Astyanax mexicanus: one gene and its partner. The protein of the gene in region 2 interacts with the protein of the main gene of each other region in a biochemical or structural test. Links are inferred from orthologs where the notes say so. Each region holds a gene or a part of one and is shown on either strand. Other genes may lie near its edges.

What was found.
Region 1: the proteins of sh3rf1 (region 2) and akt2 form a complex in vitro, tested with the Homo sapiens proteins (2 studies listed by BioGRID and IntAct, with this or other methods). The link is inferred for Astyanax mexicanus from reciprocal best matches to the Homo sapiens genes SH3RF1 and AKT2.

Annotation. Positions count from the first base shown.
Region 1 is NC_064416.1:9,373,797-9,377,551, forward strand, and holds the start of akt2 (RAC-beta serine/threonine-protein kinase), read right to left. Parts: upstream 2,236-3,755; 5' UTR 2,138-2,235; intron 1-2,137. UniProt on the Homo sapiens protein: Serine/threonine kinase closely related to AKT1 and AKT3. All 3 enzymes, AKT1, AKT2 and AKT3, are collectively known as AKT kinase.
Region 2 is NC_064408.1:51,217,459-51,221,213, forward strand, and holds the start of sh3rf1 (E3 ubiquitin-protein ligase SH3RF1), read right to left. Parts: upstream 2,833-3,755; 5' UTR 2,542-2,832; intron 1-2,541. UniProt on the Homo sapiens protein: Has E3 ubiquitin-protein ligase activity. In the absence of an external substrate, it can catalyze self-ubiquitination. Stimulates ubiquitination of potassium channel KCNJ1, enhancing it's dynamin-dependent and clathrin-independent endocytosis.

The DNA.
Region 1 (3,755 bases), on a different chromosome or scaffold from region 2:
TTTAAAGAAGTTGAACTTAAAAAAAAATAAAAAAAAAGATTTTTAGCACAAATGCACTTAGGTTTACGTTCTACCTGACTGACAGCCTCTTGCCTGAATACTCCCATCAACATTAGCTGTGAAGTTTGGCTGGGACACACCAACAAGGAAAGTATGGTATTATAATCCAATAATCCAAAAGGTGATACATAAATATTTCTAAACAGTACAGATTGAAACTAAACCCAATTGGACCACAATTAGAATTTTACAACATTAACAGACAAACCTAAAAGGCAGAACCTAAACAATGTCAACCTGTTGACAATGTCAACTATTGCAGCCATTGATGGATGTCGTTCTGAAGGAATGTAGAAGTTGAAAAACATAACTTGAAAGTTTTAAATGCTTGATTTAAAGTAAAAAAAAGGACAAATAAAAATAAGAATACGTGTTTCACTGCAGTCCTAACTAGCAGATGGCGTTCTGAAAAAGTGTATAACAAGAACATTGAAATGATATTGAAATTATTTAAAATTTGACTTTAACAAGAACTAAATGGACTATGTCGAATAATCTTTGCAGCCCAGTTTAGTTAGAGGATGACGTTGTGAAGAAGTGTAAAAGCAGAAAAACATGAATTTAAAGCTTTAAATGTTTGATTAAAAGTATAAAATGAGTAAAAATAAGAATACGTTTGTAGAATCAACACTGTCGATTATGTAGGCTAATCAATGCAGTCCTAACTAGTGGATGATATTCTGAAAAAAATGTATAACCAAAAACGGATATTGAAATAATTAAAAAGCCTTAAAGTACAAAATGACATAAAAGTAAGAATACGTTTTTTAAAATCAACATTGTCGATAACTTCGACTAATCACTGCATCTCTAACTAGTAGATAATGTTCTAAAGAAGTGTAAAATCAGAAAAACATAACTTTAAAAGCTTCAAATGCTTGATTCAAGGTATAAAATCACAAAAACAAGAATGTTTTTTTATAGTCAACACTGTCCATTATATCAACTTATCACTGCAGTCGCAACTAGTGAATGTCGTTCTAGAAAAGTGTATAAACAAAAAAAGAATATTAAAATTATTTACAATCATTAACGTATAAAATGACTTTAATGAAAATACAACTTTAATGTTTATAGCTAATCAACACTGTGGGCTATGTCGACTAATCGTTGCTGCCCAGGTTAGCTAGTGAATGACGTTCTGAAGAAGTGTAAAAGCAGAAAAACATGACTTGAAATCTTATAAAAATAAGAATGTGTTTTTATAACCAAGATTGTTGATAATGTCGACTTATCACTGCAGTCCTAACTAGTGGATGACGTCCTGAAAATGTGTATAGACAAAAAGGGATAATAAACAGATTTTAAAAGCTTTAAAGTAAAAAAAAAAATACTAAATACTTAATAAAAATATGAATAAAATGTTCATAGCTAAATCAACACTGCGGACTATGTCGACATTCTTGACTAATCGTTGAAGCTCAGGTTAGTGGAAGACTTTCTGAAGAGGTGTAGTGCAGAAAAACATGACTTATAAGCTATAAATGCTTGAGATAAAGCAGAAAATGACTTCAGTACATATCAAAACGTGTTTAACAGGTTATAACTAAAATTGTTACTAAAGTTCGCTTCAAATTCGCTTGCCAGTTCCAACTCTCCATTCCACCTTAAATGGTGCCTCAGGCAACTGAACGCAGCTGCTGCACTATTTAAGGTGGAACGGAGAGTTCGAACAAGAAGCTTGAGAAATTGAGCCAAACACTAAATTTGCATACTATAGTAGTTTACACAGCTCAAAAACAACCTTTGCCGTTAAACTAAGCAAATAACGAACAACTATACACCGAAATAATCCGTTTACACCGGTTTCAGTACGGCACAGTCCACACCACGGCCTGTTAGCATGCTAAGCTAACTAACCCTAACTTCACCGCGCACACAGGCACAGAGCTAATGCTAATGCTAAAGCTAACACTGCGCTTCGCCCGGCCCCCGGCCGGGATCTCCGCTAGCGGGTGGCGGATTACCGGTACAGAATCCCCGCTGATTAAACGTGTTTGTTGCGAGGTTACTGGATATTAGTAATTATTAATATTAGTAATAATCGCGCTGAAACCCCGCGCGCTGCTCCACTCACCGAGCGGCTCTTCACACGGCCACAAACAGGAAGTGACGTTCAGCCAGAGCCCGGACAAAAACAATAATAATACATGGAGCCCTGAGACTCACTCACTCAGATAATACCCTCTGTGAGACTGTGTGCTCTGTACTGAGCCCCTGCAGAGAAACCGTGTATTTATAAGAGGAAAAAAGTGGTGAGTACCACATACTAAGTGGTGAGCACCAGATACTATGTGGTGAGCACCAGATACTATGTAGTGAGCACCGGATATTAAGTGATGAGCACTGGATACTATGTGGCTAGAACCACATAAGTTTTGACCACCACATACTAAGCACCACATACCGACTGGTGAGCACCAGATACTATGTGGCTAGAACCACATACTAAGCATTGAGCACCATGTACTAAGCGTCACATACAGAATCATGAGAACCAGATACTATGTAGTGAGCACCAGATATTAAGTACTTAGCACCACATACCGAGTGGTGAGCACCAGATACTATGTGGCTAGAACCACATACTAAGTGTTGAGCACCATGTACTAAGCACCTCATACTGAGTGGTTAGCACCAAATACTAAGTGGCTAGAACCACATACCGAGGGGTGAGCACCGGATACTATGTGGTGAGTACCAGATAGTAAGTGGTGAGCACCAGATAATAAGTGATGAGCACTGGATACTATGTGGTGAGCACCGGATACTAAGTGGCTAAAACCACATACGTTTTGACCACCACGTACTAAGCACCACATACCGAGTGGTGAGCACCAGATACTATGTGGCTAGAACCACATACTAAGTATTGAGCACCATGTACTCAGCACCTCATACTGAGTGGTTAGCACCAAATACTAAGTGGCTAGAACCACATACAAAGCACCACATACCGACTGGTGAGCACTGGATTTTATGTGGTGAGCACCGGATACTATGTGGTGGCTAGAACCACATACTAAGTGTTGAACACCAGATACTAAGCGTCACATACAGAATCATGAGAACCAGATACTATGTAGTGAGCACCAGATAGTAAGTACTTAGCACCACATATTAGTGGTGAACACTGGATTCTATGTGGTGACTACCAGATAGTAAGTGGTGAGCACCAGATACTAAGTGATGAGCACTGAATACCAAGTGTCTAGAATCACATACTAAGTGTTGAGCACCAGATACTGTGGTGAGCACCAGATACTATGTGGTGAGCAATGGATACTAAGTGGTGCACACTTTCTGTAAATCCTATAAACTTAATTTCACGTCTCAAATATCACTGTGTTCATCTGCTATATGATATATTTAACTGAAATTTCTGATCTGAACAACCAATGATTTATAAAATAAAATCAGGAAAATTATCCGGGGTGGCCAAACCTTTTCATACCAACAAATAAAATGTCTGAACTAATGATTACAGTCCCACCATACTTTTACATCTGCTGCACTTACTTCTACCATGTAACACCAATTTATTTTCTTTATTACTATATTGTAATTCTGTTTCTAATTCCTGTTTTGCTTCTCTTTTCTATGTTTCTTAATGTTAAGCAATGTAAATGACCCGTGTGTGTGTGTTGCGTGTTGTACAGATAAACTTGCCTTGTCTTCATTAGTTTTAAAGGTTG
Region 2 (3,755 bases):
TACAGCCTCTAGCATTGGGCTCTTAATGTGTTGTGGCGCTCCATCTAAAAACTTTAAATTACTTATTATCAGTAGTTAACCTTAGTACTGCTGTTAAGGCAATTAGATCACCACGACAATGTTTAAACATCTACTTTAAAGCCTTTCCGGCAGCAAAGGGACAAAATATTCCCATTAAAATACTTTTTTTTTTTCATAAAGAAATTCATAAAGAAACGTTGAATGAGCCGGTATCCACAAACATCAGTACATACAGCTTTCTTGTGCATACTAATATCACAGAGACAAGTAGGAACAGCAAACTGACACGAATGCAGTACAGGGACTCCCAGTCCGTCCCAAGACAAAACACAAACCACATTAACAAAGAACAATGAGCCGTGTAAAGTATCATGTTCTAACCTTCCACAAGAACCAGGGGAACGTTAGTAAAAGTATAGGCGGACTGGATAGAGAAATGAAGGCACTGAAACGAGCTGGCAGCGCTTTTATCGCCCCACTCGCTTCGTTCAAGAGGAGAGAGTCTACGTGCCTGAACTACTAAGGACGAATACTACGAACACAACAAACGGTATCAGCAACTGGGACACAGCTTTAAACCAGCTCAGACCTTTTTAATATACACATAAAACATCTTTAGAAGAGCCACTAAGAAGATCTTGTTCTTTTCTAGTATTTTAAAAAGTGCGTGTCTGGTTCTCTGCAGGATTTTAAACATTAACGCCAGATTAGAAGTTGGATAACCTAGCTCAATACTAGATAGCTAGCTTAGTTTAGCTAACTAGCTTATGTAGCTAAACTACGGTGCAACCACTATGGTTTCTCATCTTTTTCCCCACTGTTCCTCCAACAGCTTAAACACAATTTAGTACACGTTATATCTTGTATTTTTTTTTTTTTAAAGCAAGTTTAATATGACATATCAGTTGTTGGCTGTGGGATGCCTGGGACTAACTTTGTAAAAAAAAACGTATTTGTTAAAAATATATATAATAAATAGCATGTAATCAAATATGAATAATACCGAGAAATATGACATTAGATAATATTTGTACCTGAAGTGAAAAGTAGTTAAACAATGTGCAGTTTGCATAAAGTAGCTAGCTGAGACCTGAAAATAAGAAGAACATTAATTGGGATATTATGGGACATAGCTTACCCAGTAAATGATACATGAATTTTAATCTTCCATACTTGTGAATGTGTGAAAACTGAAATGATATTACTAATAACTTTAAACTGACTTTTAACTGGGGATTTGGATAATGTTTTGTATGTACATTTTGTAACTAAAATAGATTTTGTGGGACTGAATATATGATGTTTTGTAGCTAGCTAGCTTTTAGTTATATACGGTACTAGAGGAACACTGCAGAATCTTAATGGCCCATTTAAGACTGTTAAAAATAATGTTTTAAAACTTTCAGAGCCTGCATCCACTTTCAGAGCCAGCATCCATTACAAAGAACATTATGTATTTTCTTTATTTTTAAATGTTGTGTTGCACATAATGACTATTTAAAAGCTGTTGTCCACCAGAATAGGCCACAAATCAGCCAATTAACAAGTTTATAAACCAATTAAAACAGTAGCCTGGCCCCGTCCACTGCACTGGAAACACAGTAGCCACTGGGGGAAAGTAACAGTTGATTTGTACTGATTTTACTGTTTAGTGATAGTTTATGAAAAAGAAGCCATATATATATATATATATATATATATAAAGTATTTCACACATTGCAATACAAATAAAAAAAAAACAATTTTGTTAATTGGATTATTTGATATATATATATACATTTTATAATAGCATATTATAATCTTCTTTTTTGTGCATTACAGAAAGAAACAGCATTTTTATTTTTCATTTTTTTTCAATTTTTGAACGTTAATACTTTTTCAGTTATAGGTAGGGACGCAGTCACCCTCTAAACAGTAATACACAACTTCGCTCAACAGACATGATGATATGAGCCTGTATCTGGTTAGTATGGAGGTGTCTGGAAGGGAAACAGCAGGCTAAAGTAATGTGTAGCCACCTAGCCGGTGTTGTAACTGCTCCAACTACAGCAGTGTTACTGGGCTCCCCTTAGCAACTAGCGTTTCCTAGCGTGGATGTGTTATGTAGCTTAGCTACAGCTAAATTAGCTAGCCTTAACTAACTAAATATTTGTCAAACAACAGTGATAAAAAAGAATACAAATTAACTGCCACACAACCGCAAAACAAGCTAACCACAGACTCAAAACATTTTTTTTCATCCAGAAACAGAAAAAAACACAGCCAAGAAATTCACCACACTTTCAGCTAATGTAAATTAACATACCATACAACAAACCTAACGCTAACTAAATAACCTGTTTAATAAGTTAACTAGCAAGGGGAATGTGTGTTTCTTTCGTCAGGTCCCAATAACGTCTTCCCAGCGTTAAAACTGCGCTAAAAGTAACTTTAATCCCGAGTAAAGTTACCGGTAACATGGTGGCTTTTCCTCCTAACCGCTGCTGAGAAGCTTTTAAAGAAAATGTTCGCTAACGTTACCTTGAACACGGCCTCCTCCCGTCCGCAGCTCGCTGCTCCTCCTTCTCCTCCTCCTCACCCACAAAACTGTTCCTGCACTAGTTCCTTCAGAACTGAGGGAAAGTGGCTCAGAAAAGCGTCCACGAAATCTCCGTTCCCTGCTCTGAGACACAAACTCACTTCACAGGCTCTCCTCTGAGTCTTTACCATCAAAAACAGCCCGTTTTCCTGTTGTCTTCCACCCGGAGACACGAGCCAACTCAGCGAGACTCCTCTACTGACCGAGGAACAAGCAGGAGGATCCAGACCCCGCGACGACTCTTTCCCACCCGTATTTCTGAAAATCCCGCCCTCCTCACCTCTGATTGGCTAGCAGTCTCATATCTCTTGCTTCAGGATTGGTCAATAGTTTACACACACAAAAAGACCGCCTTTCCAGCTTGTGTATGAACTAGTAACCAATCCGAACGCCAAAGGCAACTTACTATCAGCCAATGGCAGAACACAAGAGGCGGGACTTTATCTGAATTGAGGTGGGGTTAAAATACTGGCACTATGATAAACTGCATTGATACTGTGGGGATATGTATTAGAAAACAGTCCAGCAGAAAACTGCCAGTCAGGAGGGCGAATTTTTTATGTCACCGCCGACACAAAAATTCAGTTTGTAAACACAAATTTGGAATATTCCGCCAAATCAGTGCCATTTCTGTCCCCAGGAAATGACATGTATAAATACATTTCATTATTGAGCATAGTGTATTGTACATTGACCTAATTCCAAAAGTAATATATTTAATTAAAACCATTAATAAAAACTACTTCGGACACAGAAAAATAGCATTTGTTACCTGTCCCTCACTCTCTAACTATAAACTTTAATTATTAAAATGCTTCAGAGATGTAATTTTTTGCATTGTTGTGTTTAACCAAATCCCATCTATGCTTTAAAAATATTTTTTTTCAATAATAATCCAAAATATTTAAGTTAAAATACACATTTTAGTTGTGTCCTTGGTTTTCACTCATTCCTGTTACCGTAATACATTTCCCCTTCTGAAACATCTGTAACATTCTAACATTCCATTACTGAGGAGGTCAATCTCAACACTCATTCCTGTTACCTAAATTATTCTTGGATCTTATTTGATTATTTTTAAAATACAAATTTTGGGAAAGTCACTAGAATGTTTTTGCTAATTCTATACAAAAACTCAATCATATTAATTTGCCTA